2 linked regions of the Yarrowia lipolytica genome follow. The protein of the gene in region 2 purifies or fractionates together with the protein of the main gene of each other region. This does not show direct contact. Links are inferred from orthologs where the notes say so. Each region holds a gene or a part of one and is shown on either strand. Other genes may lie near its edges.

Region 1 (5,126 bases), on a different chromosome or scaffold from region 2:
ATCTGGTGGTTCTGGAGGGTTCCAACCGACTGAATGTCTACGACTGGGAAAAGGGCCAGTTCCTATACACCGTTTTCTCCAACGATGTAGTGGGTGGCTCGAAAAAGATCGGATGTTGTGGTCCGCCAGCAGCAGTCAAGGCTGTTGCTCTGAATGTGGGACAAAACCACGCCGACCAGTTGACTGTTCTTGGAAGCGGATGGTGGCGAAAGTACTCCAGTGCCAATTTGCAGGGAGGAGGAGGCCATACGGTGCCCAACAAGCAGGGTGAGCTGTATGGCAGTCGGCAGCTGAGTGGCGCTGTGTTCTGCGTCAGTAACGACACTGCCGTGGTGGTGAGCGACAAGAAGACTTTATTTTACTCGCTGGGCACAGAGAAATCCATTGAGGTGGCTTGTGACTTCGTTTCTGGCGTGGAAGCTGCAGCCGTGCGAGCCAAGGGCGATTTGGTGGCTGTGGCAGGAGGACGAGCACTGGTTCTGTTGAATAGTGCTGAAAACGAGAGCAACATTGTGAGACGTTAATCACAGAACCAGTAAGGGGTTTGGATGGAAGGGGAAACATTGGTGAGACTACTTTCAGTCATACGTTAATAGCCATGCCATGTAATTTAATCATAGATTTGAAATTCACTAAAAGCACACATACCGACAGTGAAAGATGCAAGCTGAAGTGTAATCGATTGATGTCTAGCATGCCATATATTAATTGCTTCCCTATATACCGTCATTATAACCTCGTTCTATCCTTATCTATGTGCAATTCCTTATGTTTACCTTTTCGAATGTTTAAGCAGGAGAATTACCCTCAGCCCAGTCAACAAAATACTTGAGCATCTCCTCGGTCACTCCTCTTCGAGCTCCCTTGAGAACATGATCAAAGTCCTTCTTGGTCACCTCCTTGGCATCTTCGTCCTGAGACATTGCGTACAGACCAGCCTCTTCACAGAGAGCAACAATTTCGGCACCGGTCATGCCCTCAGTTGTCTTGGCGATCTCTTCTAGGTCCACCTCGGAGCCCAGGCACATGTTCTTGGTTCGGATCTTGAGAATCTGCTGGCGGGCATGCTCGTCAGGAGGTCCAACGTACAGCAATCTGGACAGACGACCAGGACGCATGAGAGCAGAGTCAATAACGTCAGGTCGGTTAGTAGCAGCCAGAACCATGACTCCGTTGAGAGACTCGATACCGTCCATTTCTGTAAGCAGAGACGTGAGCACTCGTTCTCCTCCAGCGCCTGCCTCAGAATGTCCTCTAGCAGTACTAAGAGCATCAATTTCATCGAAGAAGATGATGGAAGGGGCAGCAGCACGAGCCTTTCGGAAAATCTCACGCACGGCACGTTCACTCTCTCCAACATATTTGTTGAAGAGCTCGGGGCCCTTGACAGACAGGAAGTTGAGACCAGACTCGTTGGCCAGGGCCTTGGCAATGAGAGTCTTGGAACATCCCGGGGGTCCGTACAGAAGAACACCTCTAGGGGGTGTGATTCCGAGGTTTTTCATAGTATCAGCCTTGGTAAGAGGCCACTCGACCATCTGCTTGAGCTTCTCCTTGACTCCAGACTGGCCTCCAATGTCACTCCAGGTGGTGGAGGGCTTCTCGAGGAAGATTTCTCGCATGGCAGATGGTCTGACATCCAGCAGAGCTCGTTCAAGGTCAGGCATGGTGACTTCCAGACCGGAGTTGACAGCGTTCAAAGCACTGCCATGCTCCTCCAGACCTCGGTTGATGGCGTTCATGACTCCTTCTCGACACAGAGCGCTCAGATCGGCTCCGACATAGCCGTGAGTAATGCTAGAAATGTACTGGATGTCTTCTTCGGACATATTGTGAGGCATATCAGCCATTTGGATGCTCAAAATGCTCAGTCGGGCCTCAGCGTTGGGAATGCCAATTTCGACTTCTCTGTCAAACCGGCCAGCTCGTCGCAGAGCAGGATCAATGGCGTTGGGTCGGTTAGTGGAGCCCACAACTACAATCTTGGCAGAAGCAGACTGAGACATACCGTCCATCAGAGTGAGTAGAGTAGCGACAACTCGAGACTCGGCTTGTCCAGACTCGTCTCCGTCTCGTCGAGGTACCAGAGCATCAATCTCGTCAATGAAAACAATAGCTGGCTGGTACTTTCGAGCCTCTTCGAAGATGGCTCGTAAGGACGACTCGGTCTCGCCCAGGTATTTGGATACAATGGATGGCCCGTTGATTGTGAGTACGTGTGCATTTGATTCCTGAGCAACAGCACGCAGCAGCATAGTTTTTCCGGTTCCAGGGGGTCCATGAAGAAGCACTCCTCGAGGTGGCGAGATGCCAAACCTCGAAAACAGAGAGGGATGATGCAGAGGAAGCTCGATGGTAGATTTAAGCTCCACAATGTGTTGATCCAGGCCGCCGATGGACTTGTAAGTAGTAGTTTTGGGTAGCTCCCAGCAGTTTCGAGTTGACACAACCACTTGTGTATCTTCTAGCAGAAACAAGGGAGACCAATATGAAACGTGGTTCTTGAGCTCAGATTGTTCCAGTGATAAGGATCCAAGATCTGTGTCGCCAACGTCTGTCACTGTGACGTTCACGTACTCGCCAGACTCGATCTTCACCTCCATACTGAGTCCTGGAGACACCATGGCCAGCTTCTTGAGATCGGTAGTTGTAGCATCAATAACAGCCTGTTCAGGGGAATTGGGTGTGTTTATCCGCACACTGACCAAACTCGCCATGTCCATCTTGGTCTTATATCTCTCCACTTTGACTCGATCTCCAAACAGGAGAGCTCCTGCGTCCTTGAGTCCTGCACTCACGGTAACCACGTTGATGTCGACAAGATCGGGGTCCTCCACAGCCTCGGGGATGGCGCAAACGGTTCCTCCTACTCCCCGATCACCCTCACGGTACACAGACACAAACTCGTTGTTATTGAGACCCAGAGCCTCGAGAATCTTTGGATGCAATCCAACCTTGTAGATGTTCTTGTTGTGCGTCACGGCGGCTTGGGTCTCTCCCTGGGGACGCACGATAAACAGATCGGGGATCTTGACGGGCTTTTCTTTCACCTCGCCATCGTCCTTGGTCGAAGACGACTTTTTCTTGCTGGTAGACGAGCTTTTGGGCGCCATGGTGATGATGATAAGAAAATTAAAAATTGTGCATGAAATTATGCAAGCTAAAGGGAGCTTATTGATGAAGGCGGGGTGGGACAGTGATAGATATGGGAAGAGATGAGGTTGAATAGTAGACATTTTTGGTGTCAAATAGGAATATTTTTGAGCTCAAAAATTGATCGAAGCTATCTAAAATCGAATCTGCTTCCAAATGGACGAGATAGAGCGTCTGTATCGTGTTACTTATATATTTTGAGAGATAAAAGTTTGAGAACAAGGTAATGTGATTTAAACCACTAGTTAGTTACTAATATAAAAACAATCGATCTCTTCTGAAAGAAACTGGATGAGTTACATACTGTTGTTGTGAAGACACTCTGTTTGCACGTCCAGTCAATAAATAGACCGCTATGGAGCTTATTTGGGTATGCCCTTTTGAATGATAGCGACAGTGAGCTACCTTTTGTATACAAGTTTTTATTGAATATAAATAACTATTGACAATTTGTCTATTTACAGTGCAGCCCTTTCTGCTGTTGTGGCTATTACCCGTCACGTCGTGTTCCATTCATGCCGATCGTTGTTGTCCCCCTACAAGTAGGTGTTTCATACCCAGATCCATCGGTTCAGGCTCGGTCTGGGACATGTCCTAGTGGCCAACTCAACAAGAACCCGTGGATAGATGGAGATTTACCAGCCTGCTCGTTGCCGTTTGTTTCTATGAGTTTTGACATCTTCAACGCAATACTGCCTTAAACCAAAGTCATTAAACCAGAAGTCATGTAGCCCTCCAAAATCACTTCATGAACAAACTCCTCGGCCTTCACCCCACCATGCTCAATATGGATACTTGCAATTAGCGCAAACAGCATCTTGGTGGCATAGTGAGTATCATGCATTTTCCTAAACGCCTGTCTCTTGTTGGCATTTTCTTCCGGAAGAGGCACGTATAGCGACTTGATGAGTTTCGTGTTCTTGACAAACGCAAGCACCAGGGTCTCGTCACGAGTAAGTCGGTCAGCCAGGCCGCTTCGACAAATGTCAAAGTTCATCAGGTTGGCCTTCTTTCGACTCCAACTGGGTACCTTTGTCAGGTAGCTGAAAACAGCAAATTTGTATGCATGTTGGCCCAAAAGAACACGCGAGTTGATAGCTCCGTATCCCAGTGTGTCTTCAATGTGGGTCTTTTGTGTCTGAAACGGCGTGCCCTTTCTTTGAGCGCTAGGTGTAAGCGTATGTGAAATGCACAGAAGCTCTCTGATCACAGCCTCAGGAAGCTCGTATTTGGGTCCGATGAAATCCTGAACGTAGCGTACAGATTCGATGTCGATTGTGACCATCTTGAGTTCCAGCAACGAGTGGACATCGGAGTAGAGGATTTCTTTGATTGGCGACAGAGGCGAAAGTCGAGTTCGGTATGAGGGCTGAGTGTCGGAGGTTAGATAATGACTGGATCGTGTCCAGCGGGAGAAGCTGTGGTGTATGAGTGGATTTGCGCGCGAGATCTGCGGCCTAAGTCCTTTTAATGACTGCATTGTTGTGGATGGAAGTCTGGGTGCCACTTGAATTTGGTGATACAAAATAATTTGAGTTGGGAGGTTACAGTAAACGGTGAAGGACGTCCATACGTGATGGGGGTGTAATTGGGGTGGCTATAAGTGGCTGTCTACGAAGAGCGGGAGGGTATTCTAAGAGATTTGAGTGACTATTAAGGGAGTTTGAATAGAGTGAGTTATTTTCTATACTCAAAGTAAGCCGTTATTGTAGTGTTTGTGTGATGTGACATATTCTCCCCTCTATCCAAGTCCTTTTAAAAATTCCGTTTGTTGAGATCAAGTCCAGAACACCCAACTAACTCCTGCATACTTCAAGTACGAAATAAGGGTCTGGGGGTCTCAAAATATTCTTTCATTCTAGCCCAATATTGAACATTTTTGAGATTTGAAAAAAAGGAATATATAAAATAAACGAGTAGAACTGAGTATAGCACCTTTAAAACCTTCTACCACGCTTCAAGACCCACTTCTT
Region 2 (4,315 bases):
AATTAATTTTCTGCTATTTATGCCTAATTTTTTCTTTTGGATAAAAATACTATGCTGAGTAAATGTCAAGTAAATCTTGAAGTACTGTAATAACAGCATCTTCATGATTTCGCAAATATCAGAGATTCTAGAAATGTTGGTACTGTAATACAGAATAGCGGTGTACCAACCTGGATTGGCTGATATTGCATACCTGTTAAAACGATGCATTCTAGTTATCAATTCATCCCCGCATTTTGCTGCACAATGTCCGCAACTGTGAAAATGTACCCCCAGCGCAACTTACTACTACTTTAATTATAACATCTTTTAAGAGAATAATCTTTGTATCGACTGCAAGCAAAACGGGGTTATACTGTACACGAGGAACAGAGAATTCAGACTTCCGGTAAGAAACAACTGGTGGTCCAAACAGCTTATATTTCAGCCTGATCTGACCAGGAGTCGAACTTCGACAAACGGGGAAGACGAGGGGGCGCATTTAACACACTTGCCGCTGAATAAGTCCTCACATGGTACCAAGTAATGATTCATATCTCTAAGTATTGTACAAAACGAGTAGATTAACTATTTGTACAAGTACTGTACATACTGTACTCTGTATCACCTCACTACTTAGCCATACTACAAGACTGTACACTTTCCCACTCAAACAAGCATGCATCTCTATTACTATAAATAGCCCAATTAATCATCAAAACCCTTGAACTCCTCCTCCTTGGTCTCCTCGGCAGTCTCAGTAGCAGCAGGGGCCTCGTGGATCTCTCGCTTCTTCATCTCTCCCAGTCGGCCCTCTCCAGCGGCGAACTTGACGTTCTCCATGTCCTCGGCCTGAGGAGGGGGCACGAACCAAGGGATCTTGCCTCGGTTGAAGTCGTTGAGAATCAGCTTGGCGATTCCAGACTCGTCGGGCTCTCCTCCCTTCAACAGACGACCGTGCTTTCGTGCAATCTTCTCCAGGAACTCGGTGGCGTTACTCCAGCCGGACACCTCGTAAGTTCGCTCCAGATGCTTGGTCTCACATCGCTCCAGAAGAGCGGGGATGTACTGCTCGGGGTAGGAGACATGCTCGACTCGCACGACACCTCGGAAAAGAATGTCCGTCTCGGAGTCCTTCTGACTGGGAGGCACAATACCGGGACAGTCAATGAGGAAGATTCGCTTCATCAGAGTAATGTACTGCCACACCTTTGTCTCTCCGGGGATAGGGGCAGTCTTGCAGACCTTCTTCTTTCGCAGAGTGTTGATGATGGATGACTTTCCGGTGTTGGGGTATCCGATGAAACCCACGGAAATCTGTTGTCGGTCAGGGTGCAGAGCCGAGTACTGTCGCAGCAGCTGGATCAGAGAACCCTTACCGAAAGAGTTGGTGATGGAGGCGTGAAAGGCCAGAGTGGGGTAGTCTTGCGAAAGATGCTTGACCCAAGCGGCAGCAACCCACGTGGGCACAAGATCACACTTGTTGAGAACAAAGATGAGATGCTTGTGGGGAGCCTCCTTCTTGATGTATTGCTCGACGGAGGTACACCTGGTTCCTAGAGGGTCTCGGGCGTCAAGCACATGAATAACCACATCTGAGGAGTCAATAACCTTGTACAGCTCATTCCAGATTCGCTTGGACTGACCCTTGTGGAAAATGGCCTCCTTGGCCTCCTGGGACCAGCCGTCCACCTTCCACGAGTTGTCCTCCTCCTTCTTAGCCTCGAAGTCCTGCTGGCTCTCGTCGGCAGCAGATGCAAGCTCGGCAAAGTCTCCAACAGCCAGCTGGGGCTTCTTCCGCTGGGCCTTGGGGCCAAAAGTGTTAGCGTATGACTCGGTCTCCACCACCTTCACTTGGGGGATCTTGTTGTTCTCCTCCAATAACGACATGGGCAGCTTGTTTTGTCGCAGCAGCACCTGGTATGAATCTCGCTTGGTCTCGCCTAGGGCCTCTCGGAAGTGATTGAGAGCGTCTTGGGCAATGACTCGAGTGTTGCCGAACCACCGTCGGTTGGGGTCGATTCGAGCGTTGGGGATTTCCTTGGACTGGAAAGTGGCGGCCTGGACCTCCTCTCCTCGGGCATTGTGCTTGGCTCGGCCCTCCTTGTACATGCTCAGCTTCTTGACCTTCTTGGCATCTCGATAGAAGTTGACACCCTTGACACGGATGTTGCCGAAGCCGTTGCCGGTCTCGCCGCCCTTGGCTCGTCTGGTAGCTTCTTTTTTGCCAGTTCCCATTGTGTGTAGATGTGTATGAAGAAGATGTCAAAAAAATTTACATATCTGCATAGGCACAAAGGCTAATCCAGTTTTTTTTGAGCTTATTTGGGAAGTTAGAGATGTCTTCTCTTGAGGGCGTGAGTTCGATTCCCCCTGGGGAAATCAGAACTAGCGGTGAAGCAGAAGTATGAGCTGAAGTCAGAGTTTCAAGAGAGTATATATATCAATGAAGCACAAACAGCGAATGATAACCAACTACACCCCACCAATAACCAAAATAAATACAACATTTTTCAACATGTTTTTTTATTCGTATTTTTCGACCTCCATAGTCAAACAATCAGTCGACACCGTTGATGCATGACGCTGCAGTGTGACATTTGGAGAACTGTAGAATATTGAGAAGATGTACAGTTCTAAGCGAGATAAACATATGAAAAATAGCTTTAAAATACCAGCAAGTTGATCCCAACTGCTTCTTATCTTATCTCTTCTTTCCAGCCAGCATTATTACAACAATACCACCCTCTACATAGTCCAAACTCTGAAATATTTTTGAGAGCTTAATTTGTTTACCCAGAAGTATTTCTGTCTGAAAAATCAAATCAAACTCATTAACCAAAACACAGACACCTTCAACAATGACAGACACGTTCGAAAACGACTCCAAAGCATTCAGCGACTTTCTCGCCGGTGATCTCAAGTACGAAATCTCACCGAAAATCGCTATTCATGACTACCGATCTGACCACCAAGGTCGAGGAGTGATTGCATCCGAAGACATAGAGGAGGATGAGGTGCTGTTCAAGATCCCCCGAAGCTCGTTTCTGTCGGTTGAGAATGACCCCGATTTCATCAAACAGGTCCCCGAGGCCAAGAAACTCAACTCGTGGCTGCAATTGATTCTGTACATGATGAAGGCTGGCTCCATGACTAAGTGGAAGCCCTACTTTGACGTCCTGCCCACCCAGCTGGACTCTCTCATGATGTGGACCGACGACGAGCTCGAGGGTCTCAAGGGATCCATGATAGTCAAGAAGATTGGCAAGGCTGGCGCTGAGGAGGACTACCAGGAAAAGCTGAAGCCCATCATTGATGCCCATCCCGAGTACTTCAAGGACTGTGATACTTCTCTCGAATCTTTCCACAGAATGGGAGGTCTCATTATGGCCTACTCTTTTGATGCTCCCGATAGCTTTTCTGAGGACGAGGAGGACGATGAGGACATAGAGCATGACGATCTGTACAACGAGGGTCTTGTCAAGGCTATGGTTCCCCTGGCTGACACCCTTAACGCCCACACTCGTTTCTGTAACGCCAACCTCATTGCTGAAGACGATGGAGGGTTCTCCATGACTGCTATTCAGCCCATTAAGAAGGGTGAGCAGGTATACAACACTTACGGCGAGCTGCCCAACTGCGACTTCCTGAGACGATACGGATACGTGGAGAACGAGGGCACTGAGTTTGATATTGTCGAGTTCTCTATGGACGAAATCTCCGATTTTTACGCTAACAAGGCCTCTAAGGACCTCATAGAGGAGGCCACCGATCTTCTAGAGGACTGGCAGGGAGAGTACGAGATTATGGACGAGTACTTTGTGGTCGGGAAGACCGGCGAGATCGAGTTTGATCTCGCGTGCTTTATTTCCTTCCTCGAGCTCATCACCAAGGACACCTCTCTGTTGTCCAAGCTCAAGCAGGACAAGTCCCTGCGAAAGCAGGTCGTCAAGCAGTTGTGGAAGAAGTCCAACCAGGGTCTCCTCATCGACGATGCTGTCAAGTCCCTGACGGAACTCGTCGAGTCCAAGAAAAAGACCTACGGTGAGAAGTCTGACAAGACCCACAAGCACAAGATGGCGTCAATCGTGCTTGAAGGAGAGCTGGAAATCCTTGATAACATTGTCAAGCGACTACCCGAGACTACCACATACGTTACTGACGACATTCTCACAAAAAAGCGGGCTTCTGACGCTCCCTCTGGTGATGCTAAGCGAAAGAAGTAGATTCACCTATAAACTGTATAAAATGTATTAAATGTATATTAACCGTTAATACCACTCACAACTGAAATGTAACACGATCAATTTATTCTTTTATATAGTTGTTTTTCATT

The links. The genes of interacting proteins can lie anywhere in the genome.
Region 1: the proteins of YALI1_F35753g (region 2) and YALI1_E08021g purify together in Saccharomyces cerevisiae (affinity purification with mass spectrometry; 3 studies listed by BioGRID). This does not show direct contact. The link is inferred for Yarrowia lipolytica from reciprocal best matches to the Saccharomyces cerevisiae genes NOG2 and AFG2.

The regions. Positions count from the first base shown.
Region 1 is NC_090774.1:798,906-804,031, forward strand, and holds YALI1_E08021g (uncharacterized protein), read right to left. Parts: upstream 3,237-5,126; coding exon 789-3,236; downstream 1-788. Other genes in the region: YALI1_E07984g (uncharacterized protein), read left to right, coding at 1-524; YALI1_E08035g (uncharacterized protein), read right to left, coding at 3,851-4,633. UniProt on the Saccharomyces cerevisiae protein: ATP-dependent chaperone which uses the energy provided by ATP hydrolysis to generate mechanical force to disassemble protein complexes.
Region 2 is NC_090775.1:3,573,211-3,577,525, reverse strand, and holds YALI1_F35753g (uncharacterized protein), read right to left. Parts: upstream 2,218-4,315; coding exon 688-2,217; downstream 1-687. Other genes in the region: YALI1_F35746g (uncharacterized protein), read left to right, coding at 2,841-4,205. UniProt on the Saccharomyces cerevisiae protein: GTPase that associates with pre-60S ribosomal subunits in the nucleolus and is required for their nuclear export and maturation.